Linked DNA regions of Saccharomyces cerevisiae S288C. The protein of the gene in region 1 interacts with the protein of each later gene in a pairwise test. Each region holds a gene or a part of one and is shown in the gene's direction. Other genes may lie near its edges.

Region 1 (4,211 bases):
GAGAAGGTAATGCACGCATATCAATGGAGCGGATAGGTTCCAATGCCGCCATAGACATATTTTTTGGGCATTTTTCATCTAAACAGTTCTCTTCTAGGAGTGTGGTAGTATTGTAAGCTCTCGGCTGGCTCGCGGTTCTACGTGCTCTCATAGTATCTATGCTACTCTCATAACTCTCTGACGTATTATAAGAATGTATTGTTGAAGCAGATGATTGGCTATCTAATGGATTTGAACCACGAGTTGCCTGTGACTCTTCGCTTTGAGTGCACGCAATAGTATTTCTTGCCTTCACCTGAACTGGTTTTGTAATCTTTGAATTCGAAGAAGTGTCTGGTAGTGACAGGGGAGCTATACTATTTGTTGATCTCCTTGAAATTGGTGGTACGTCTGCGTTTTCACCCTTTGTACCTATAGCTTCAGTGAGACTATCGCGAGCGGTGTACTTATTGTTGAAAAGCTGTTGTTCGTTTGAGAAGAAACGCTCGCTAGTATCTGTATTAGTTGTGTTTGCACTTACTGCGGGCTGTGTCTTTGTCGTTTCTGAAACCCTAACGGCGCTTTCATCGTCGTTGTACTCGAAATCGCTTTCAATCAGTCGAAACCCCCCCAAATTGAAAATGCAAATTAGAAACATTGTCAGAAATATAATGACGTTAGCCACACCTTTGTTACCTTCTTCTTCCGAAAATACAAGCCCTTGGTCCATAGATTGTAAATATGCAATTGGTAAATCACTTATATTTGGAAACATACCACCGGCAAGAATACCACCGTACCATTGTTTAGGAACAGGCAGGAATAGCCTAACAACGTATGCAAAAAAGAACCCAGAACCAAATATTAGGAGGGCAGACAGACAGATAATTCCCACAGATTTGATGTCTTTATCTTCAATATTAGCGACAATCTTGTTGAATGACAGAGAGGGTAGTAAAACTGTTAGCACGATATCAGAAATAATTCTTGTTGCTTCAACCGTAAGAATTCCCATTTTAGCCATCAGAAAGCCGACTCCTATAATCAAATAAATCTTGATTATCGGCTTAACTGACACCCATATCGCTTGACCCAGAGTAATGTGCACCATCTGATGAAAATTTGAGGTTTCAATCCCTTTCTCTGTTTGATTCTATAACTTCTCCAAAAAAATTGCGCTGACGCTAATTAGTCACTGTTTATATCTTTTTTAGCGATGATTTGTAACAATATGCCATAAAAGCGTTCTCTAACTGCGGAAGTGATGAGAATTGAATAGTTTTATTCAGAAGGCAATATATCCTAATATGGCACAAAAAGGCAACTTGTATGCACAAAATGAGCATAAGAGTTCAGGCAGAACGTTGTGCTCTTGATCCAAAGGTTAAAAGTCATCGAGTAGGAAGATATTGTAACCTTCGCGCAAACCGCAGCCGCAGCGGGTCACGTGGTCGCGCAAATGATGATGAGGGCGCGGTCTAACTTTCCAAACGAGGTTACCAACAATTCTCGGACAGATAAAGCATTAGAATAGGGTGGCAACGCCTTTACGGTTAGCTTGTTCATTGTGATTGGTTTGTGTATCTTTTCTTGGCTTTTTATGCCCACGAGACATAAAGTATACGAAGCTGTTATACTATTCGTGATCCAGGGCAAAAATTTAGCATCATTAAGGCATATATATCGCAAATAGTGGGTTGCACAAGGCTTTCAATAAACAGTGTCATATGTTTCTCTAGCTCTGTCGGTTTGTTGGCTATAAAGAGTTTGTCTAGTAATCGCCGTCTTTTCTTGGGACCATTAACACAGACAAGGACATTGAAACTTGGCTATAAGTTCCGTCAAAGGGGGAAAAAATTGCTTTGGAGAAGGAATAAAAAGATGAATAGTCAAGGTTACGATGAAAGCTCTTCCTCTACTGCTGCTACTAGCGGTCCTACTTCTGGAGACCCACGAATGGGTAAGAAACAACGGTTTATGAATCTCATAAGAACCACAAAGGATGTTTATATTCCTAACCTGACGTCATCCATTTCTCAAAAGACAATGGATGGCATCAGGAGCACTACGAATTCCTTCGAAGGTTATAATGACTTGCCTATGGAATTGCCACATAATACCACGATAACATATTTTCCAACGTATACCACAACTAATTTGGTTGACCCTGACGGTTTGAGTGCGCCTCGGAAAGATTTTGAAACTACTGTCAGATGTGCTGTTTCTTATCCAGGAAATCCTACAAGCAGGAGAAATAGGTGGTTGCTTTCTCTTTGTAAACAATATCTTAGAACTGGAACGGCGGAGGCCGATGTTGCACCTGTTGTTCCCCCTCATCTCGAAGAGGATTCTGGAGATTTAAACGACTCCCAATCAAGTATAGAAAGTTCTTTGTCTTCAAAGAGCGAAAATAGGTATTCACATATGGGCATCCAAGAGGAAGATGTTCTGAATGAGAGAATTCAAGGATTCCTGTCCAAAAAAGTTCCTAATACTCCAGTGGTGGTTGACCTATTGCCCAAAGATAAGCTCAGAGGGGATACGGCTTCCTTTTTTGGTACCACGGACTCTTATGGTAATTTACTAATCAAGGCAGAAACAGATTTTTTACCGTCCAAGATTAATATTACATTAGATACCCCTATAGAAGGCCATGCAGATCCCATATCTGAAACATTTCCGGCCAATTATGTCTCGCCCTACGGTATTGGTTTAATCAGTGATATTGACGACACCATCAAGCATACTGGCGTTACGGGTGACAGGAGATCGATGTTTCGTAATGTTTTCATCCATGATGTTCAATCGTGGGTAATAGATGGTGTTCCTCTTTGGTACAAAACTTTACATGATGTCGCAGACGTTGATTTCTTTTATGTTTCTAATTCACCCATCCAAACTTTTACTCTTTTGAAACAATATATTTGCGCCAATTTTCCTCCGGGTCCAATTTTTTTGAAACAATACTCTGGTAATTTCTTTTCCACTATCATGACTTCAAGTGCGAATAGAAAAATTCAGCCGATTGCAAATATCTTAAAGGATTTTCCCAAAAAAAAATTTATTTTGGTCGGTGATTCTGGTGAACATGACTTAGAAGCGTATACCACTACGGCTTTACAATTTCCGAACCAGATTCTGGCTATTTATATAAGATGTTGCTCTAATTCCATGAGTGATGTCCCATCGCATGATGAAGAAGTTATGAATGAAGTGAACAATATCATCGAATTACAACAACGGCCCATGCAAATGACCAAGTCTACCGTACGTACCAGGAGAAGACCACCACCACCTCCCATTCCTTCCACTCAAAAGCCATCGTTGACAGAAGAGCAAACCGAAAGTATAAGAATGTCACGCCGTAATAAAGATGAGAACAATGCTAAAAGAGTTGCCCCACCACCGTTGCCGAACAGACAGTTACCTAACTTAGACGCTAATACTTACTATGTACCATCCTCACAAAATGACTATGGCATGTATGGTGCTTTCATGGATAAAAAAGCAGATGAATGGAAGAGAAGAGTAATGGACTCAATTCAAAAATTGAGCAATCAAGACACCACATTGATGTTCTTTTCGGATCCGGCATTAAGTTTGGAAGACAGTATTCGCAGAATTAGGGAGAAGTATTCAAACTAAATACACTGTTATTTATATACATCGGGAGGGAGTTTAAAAATTGTATACACTAAAGTGACCTTATGAATTGGAGCCATTTTCAACGTTTTAGAGTGATGTTGCATCCTTTTCATCAGATCGGGAAATTAAAAAAACGGTTATAGAAGGGCTAAATGTAAATATGTAAATTTTATGAAGTCAAGAGTAAAGAAAATCTTCGGTTGCCGATCAAATACACTCTTACAAAATACCCTAAACTCAGTTTATCTTTCCATTCCAACTGATTATCGCGTACGCCTTGGTGACCAACCATACCCTAAAATGTCAATTTCCGGGGCGGAAGGGGTCCTTAAACTGCAAAGCCTCTTCCCATGTAAATAAAATAAATCCGTAGAATTTATTAAATATTGTCATATTATAAGTCGGGAAAGGCCTTCTGAATGCACGTATATTGACCAAATAGAGTTAGATTCAAATTATTTATTACATTTTTTCAGCATCGAAGTTAAGTAGAATGGATAAACATACAGCAGCTATTCCAACATTAACTATCAAAGTAGTCTTACTCGGAGAATCTGCTGTCGGGAAGTCCTCAATAGTCCTCAGGT
Region 2 (3,168 bases), on another chromosome or scaffold:
TGGAGGATGAAGAATTTATCCCAATATTAATGGAGTTTAAAGAAATCGACACTTGCATTAAGACAAGTGCCAAGACACAGTTTGATCTTAACCAAGCGTTTTATCTTTGCCAAAGGGCTATAACACACCCAATATCACCTTTATTTGATGCCATGGTAGGTGAACTAAAGCCATTGGCTGTCATGGCTTTAAAAAGAATTTTTCTTTTAAGCGATTTAAACCAGGACTCATATTTAGATGACAACGAAATCTTGGGCTTACAAAAAAAGTGCTTCAATAAGAGTATCGATGTAAACGAACTGAATTTTATTAAAGATTTGCTTTTGGATATTTCCAAGCACGATCAAGAGTACATTAACCGCAAGCTATACGTACCGGGAAAAGGCATCACCAAAGATGGTTTCCTTGTACTGAACAAAATATACGCTGAAAGGGGGAGACACGAAACTACATGGGCTATCCTAAGAACTTTCCATTACACAGATTCCTTGTGTATTAATGACAAAATTCTCCATCCGAGGTTGGTTGTCCCTGACACTTCCAGTGTGGAATTGAGCCCCAAGGGCTACAGATTTCTTGTAGATATTTTTTTGAAGTTTGATATCGACAATGATGGTGGTTTGAATAATCAAGAATTACATCGTCTATTTAAGTGCACACCAGGGCTGCCTAAACTATGGACCTCAACGAATTTCCCCTTCTCCACTGTCGTAAACAACAAGGGTTGCATCACCTTACAAGGCTGGCTAGCACAATGGAGTATGACGACTTTCTTGAACTATAGCACAACTACCGCTTACTTGGTGTATTTTGGCTTTCAGGAAGATGCAAGACTAGCCCTACAAGTAACCAAGCCAAGGAAAATGAGACGCCGTTCCGGGAAACTTTACAGATCCAATATCAATGACAGAAAAGTGTTCAATTGCTTTGTCATTGGAAAGCCATGTTGCGGCAAAAGCTCTTTGCTAGAGGCCTTCTTGGGCAGATCTTTCTCGGAGGAGTATTCTCCGACAATCAAACCAAGAATTGCAGTCAATAGTTTAGAACTCAAAGGTGGGAAACAGTACTATTTGATTTTGCAAGAACTTGGAGAACAGGAATACGCCATACTAGAGAATAAGGATAAGTTAAAAGAATGTGACGTAATCTGTCTAACATACGATTCCAGCGACCCAGAATCATTCTCCTACTTAGTTTCGCTTCTAGACAAATTCACACATTTACAAGATCTACCGTTGGTATTTGTAGCTTCTAAGGCAGATTTGGATAAGCAGCAACAAAGGTGTCAAATCCAACCAGATGAACTGGCAGACGAGCTATTTGTGAACCACCCACTGCACATATCATCCAGATGGCTAAGTTCCCTTAATGAATTGTTTATTAAAATCACAGAAGCTGCTCTTGATCCTGGCAAAAACACTCCGGGATTGCCAGAAGAAACAGCAGCAAAAGATGTCGACTACAGACAAACGGCTCTCATTTTTGGGTCCACTGTTGGATTCGTAGCACTATGTTCCTTTACGTTAATGAAATTATTCAAATCATCAAAATTCTCAAAATAATTAATGCCCAAATTTCTATATTAGGGAAGTGTTGCATTTCTATGATATCTGGCCTAAGGCGGAGCCCTTTTTTTCTTTCCGATAAAAAATGCCAAACCACGCTCATTTGCAAGAAACCTTCAAAGGGTGATAAGGTCTCAAGACTCAGTAGACTTAAAGTTTTCCACTACGTCTAACTACAGCAGAACAAAATTATTTCAATCAAATGGCATCTAATCAACCTGGCAAGTGTTGCTTTGAAGGAGTTTGTCACGATGGAACACCCAAGGGTCGTCGTGAAGAAATCTTCGGTTTAGATACTTATGCAGCAGGCTCTACATCTCCCAAGGAAAAAGTTATAGTTATCTTGACAGATGTGTATGGCAATAAATTCAACAATGTTTTATTAACGGCCGACAAATTTGCTAGTGCTGGGTACATGGTCTTTGTTCCCGATATTTTATTCGGCGATGCTATCTCATCGGACAAACCAATTGATCGTGATGCCTGGTTTCAAAGACATTCTCCTGAAGTCACCAAGAAAATTGTTGATGGATTCATGAAGTTGTTAAAACTTGAATATGACCCAAAGTTTATTGGCGTTGTGGGTTACTGTTTTGGTGCAAAGTTTGCCGTCCAACACATTAGTGGCGACGGGGGTCTTGCCAATGCTGCAGCCATTGCACATCCATCTTTCGTCAGCATCGAGGAAATTGAAGCAATTGATAGCAAGAAACCAATATTGATTTCAGCAGCGGAAGAGGATCACATCTTTCCGGCAAACTTAAGACACTTAACGGAGGAAAAATTAAAGGATAATCACGCTACTTACCAGTTAGACCTCTTCAGTGGTGTGGCTCACGGGTTTGCAGCAAGAGGCGATATATCCATACCTGCCGTAAAATATGCGAAGGAGAAAGTCTTGCTCGACCAAATATACTGGTTCAATCATTTTTCGAATGTTTAAGAGGGAAGAGCTCTTCTTACGTTAACCGTTATATACATATATATATATATTGAGCACTTTATATTATCGGTCAGTTTCATAAATTCGTGGCTATATAATATTAATTAATTGATGAAATGAATAGGTAGGAGTTTGGAAAGAAAATTTTTAAGCAAAGTCATTGCCAAACAAAAAGTCATAATCAAATAAATCCAAACCTCCAAAATAACCTGGAAAAGGAGTATTATTCGCTTGGCCTCTATCGAAACCATTAGGAAGTTGTGATCCAGATGAGTTATCGACAATTGGTGTAGCATTGATTGAATTGTTCAAGTTATTCATCCCGGCTATTGGCGTTTGCTCTTTTGAACCACCACCCGCCAAAGGACCCTGACGTAAACCACTGTTGTAGTCCAAGCTCTGACCAACTGCAGCGGCCGATGATAGTTTTTCTAAATTATCTAAGGATGAACTCCATGTCTTTGTGAAGGTAGGAACAGCATTTCCGAATGGTTCGCCGTTGGTTAAGTCAATTGTGTTTACAGGCGGCTTCAATCCTGAAGAAATTTGAATCTCTTTTTTGATATTACGGTTCAGCTCATCTATATCTTCAACGCTAAAATTCGCAACGTGATTGCATGCCATCAATTCCTCTAATAGCCTATCCTTTTTGTCCAGTTT
Region 3 (3,271 bases), on another chromosome or scaffold:
TTTTTGTTGTTTCCTTATATCTTGTGGGATGGTGTCGGGTGCGATTGTTCCCGCATTAGCAACAATTTGTGCCAGATAATGGTATTTTGTTGGTTCTAGTACTTCGCTATCGTCTTCGCTATTATCTTCGCTATCGCTTTCTTCAGCGGTGGCATTGCCACTGCGCTCGCCGCACCATTCTTCGAAAAGACTTTCACGAACTGTGTCATCTCTGATCTTGTAAAAATCAGGATCGTTTTCGATTTTCTTGCTTTGCAGCGACCACGTGGAAAACTTGTCTAGTTTATACCTATCGAATAATTCGAAGAAGATATTACGCTCGTCAATGTCATCTGTATCAATACGATTCAGATCATCGATAATGCTGATATCTTGATTTACAATTTGTTCTTCATTCTCTTCGTCTTCCTCTTCGTCTTCCTCTTCGTCTTCCTCCCCCGAAGATGAACCATACCCGCTGACTAGCCCAGTGTGGCTTTCCTGTAAAGGGGATTTTACGTCACCCGCCTCTTCGCTGATCTCATCTTTTCTCTCAACTTCGTCTTGATTTCTTTTAAATAGATGAATCTCTTCGTTGCAAGATTCGAGGATTTTATCAATGTCCTCCTCCCGCATAGTGTAACCTCTGGCAACGCCAATCAGAAGAACCAGTTTTTCCTTATCTAACGACTCGATTAATGAGCGACACCTGCTGTCGTCCTCTTGACTGATGTCATTTTTGAACTCCTTAGAGTCATCATTAAAGTAAAGTTTTGTACCATCGTTGTATATTATTAAGTGCCAACCATTAACCAGTTCTAATGAAAATGTTGGCTTCCTCTCTGTCTGTGATTCTTTCGCATTGCTTTCTAGGTTAGAGCCTTTCTTCAAATTAGGTTTTTCCCATCGAGACTGCTTCGTGTTCTTATTATAGTAATACTTTTTGCCTGCAGGTGTCTTAAATTCCTGCCATTCTCCACGCATGGCGATTCTGTGTTACTGAACTGTCTTTCTCTTTATAATACATATCAGAATCTCTTTCGGACACTATTTCCTCTTTCTTCAATTATATTGTTTTCTCTTTCATTGCCGAAGAAAAAAAGAAACATACTGAAAGTTGATAAATATGCAATAATAAAACCTTTTCCTACTCTTGACGCTTCTGTATAAGATAAAAACTGCCAACAAGATCAGTTCCAACTTCCTGCCGTATTATGAGGTATGTTATTCATTACCAAGACTATATCCGCCACGGCTGGATGCAGGCATCGCTCCCTGTGGCTTAAGAAAATAATAGGCACAAAACTAACAATAAAAACATCCACTACTCTGTCGCATGTTCCCTGTGCTCAGATCATTCGTAACAAATAACGATATACCTGTTGGATATGTAACGCCAAAATTCCCCTCATTATACTGGCCCATCAACAACTCGAAGTATAATACTGCATTCTTATACTATATATCTGACATTTGGAAATTTTCGCTGTACTGGACTTTGATCTTTAATGGTGCATTTTACGTTACTGCTGGTGTGTATGCTAGCTTGACCCATAGAAAGAAGGCTGGAAGTGTATGGATATTCGTCATGTACGTCTTATACGGAGGCGTTCAAGGCTTGACGACTGGTACAGTTATGGGGTTTTTAATAGGTGCGATCTATAGATCTGGTTTATTTTCTATGTCTACATGGGTCCCACTTTGTTGCGCAGTAGTCCAAATCCTTTTCGATGTGGTGCTAAGTTATTCCATGGTTGGTTCCGTTATGTGAAAGCTTCTGTCAAGAAAAAACAAGAAGGGGTTTACTGATTTGATGATAAAAGTTAGCAGCAACTTTTGAATGAGAATGTGCCATCCTTCACGTAAAGAGCCTAATACTCTTTCTTCAAAGCGCTAGATTGTTCTAAACGTTTCTTTAACTATTGTTTTCGTTCGTGCAGCGTGATTAACCGAGCCTCCTTCGAGGCGGGGATGGATATTGTAAGCTGCATATATAGTCGAACCTCAAATCGGTTGAGACAATAGGCAAAGTGCCCACATTGGCGCAAACACAAGAACATTAGGAAAGAAGGCAATCTGATATTTCAAAAATGTCTGCTTCATTGATTAATCGTTCCTTAACAAACATTAGGACAGAACTGGATTTTCTAAAAGGGTCAAATGTCATTTCAAATGACGTTTACGATCAAATAAATAAGAGCTTGCCGGCAAAATGGGATCCTGCCAATGCACCCCGCAACGCCAGTCCAGCTTCCTTGGAATATGTCGAAGCTCTTTATCAATTTGATCCTCAACAAGATGGTGATTTGGGCTTAAAACCAGGTGACAAGGTCCAACTTTTAGAAAAATTATCTCCAGAGTGGTACAAGGGTAGCTGTAATGGCCGTACCGGTATTTTCCCAGCAAACTATGTCAAGCCAGCTTTCTCTGGGTCTAACGGTCCATCCAATCTTCCACCACCTCCACAGTATAAAGCTCAAGAATTACAACAAATCCCCACGCAAAATAGTGCCGCATCATCTTATCAACAGCAGCCATTTCCTCCACCTTCCACAAATTATTATCAGCAGCCTCAACAACAGCCGCAACAAGCTCCTCCTCCCCAACAACAACAACAACAACAACAACATCAGAGCTCACATAGCCACTTGAAGAGCTTTGGTAGCAAATTGGGTAATGCCGCCATTTTTGGGGCAGGCGCTAGTATTGGGTCAGATATTGTTAATAATATCTTTTAAGTCGTTTTTCTCTTTATATACTTCATTCATTTGTTCTCCATTATGGCCAAACCTTTCATAAATTGAACGAAGTTCTACCTTTGGTGTTGTTATCCCTAGAATTTTTTTCTAATGAGTATGAATTTAAGTAACCTTTTTTTTTCTTTTTTTTTAAACAGATATATCGTATATGGAGGATAATAGTACATCACTTATGATATGAGCGAGAAAATCTGTCTTTTTAGTAAAAAAGTATAAAAAGTAAAAAGGCGTCGATTTTGCGTTGATTTCTTTATATTTACGTCTGTACAAAAAATACATTAAGAATATATTCAATATCTTCCCTTTCTTCTTCCCCAGCAGGCTATACGCTAATGGATTAAAAACCTGCCATATACGTGGTATATCCTGTTGACGACATTTATATGAGCTCCGGAGTCAAGATTGGTATCCACCAGTTCCTCAACGTCCCTAAACCATTCTTTCTTTCTTGAACGCGGGATCAAAAAACTTCCCAATTTGTATAAGTTAGAAACCTCAATCACTAGTAGACCCTGGTTTAAGTGTTCCTCATC

What was found.
Region 2: the proteins of APP1 (region 1) and AIM2 interact in a two-hybrid assay, tested with the Saccharomyces cerevisiae proteins (2 studies listed by BioGRID).
Region 3: the proteins of APP1 (region 1) and PIN3 interact in binary tests that used the Saccharomyces cerevisiae proteins (3 or more experiments, as listed by UniProt).

What each region holds. Positions count from the first base shown.
Region 1 is NC_001146.8:445,751-449,961, forward strand, and holds APP1 (phosphatidate phosphatase APP1), read left to right. Parts: upstream 1-1,860; coding exon 1,861-3,624; downstream 3,625-4,211. Other genes in the region: YNL095C (uncharacterized protein), read right to left, coding at 1-1,090; Rab family GTPase YPT53, read left to right, coding at 4,118-4,211. UniProt on the Saccharomyces cerevisiae protein: Mg(2+)-dependent phosphatidate (PA) phosphatase which catalyzes the dephosphorylation of PA to yield diacylglycerol. May play a role in vesicular trafficking through its PAP activity at cortical actin patches.
Region 2 is NC_001133.9:51,195-54,362, reverse strand, and holds AIM2 (protein AIM2), read left to right. Parts: upstream 1-1,767; coding exon 1,768-2,508; downstream 2,509-3,168. Other genes in the region: ERMES complex Ca(2+)-binding regulatory GTPase GEM1, read left to right, coding at 1-1,562; oleate-activated transcription factor OAF1, read right to left, coding at 2,656-3,168.
Region 3 is NC_001148.4:832,496-835,766, forward strand, and holds PIN3 (Pin3p), read left to right. Parts: upstream 1-2,069; coding exon 2,070-2,717; downstream 2,718-3,271. Other genes in the region: URN1 (Urn1p), read right to left, coding at 1-963; MAY24 (May24p), read left to right, coding at 1,194-1,198, 1,333-1,750; NCA2 (Nca2p), read right to left, coding at 3,068-3,271.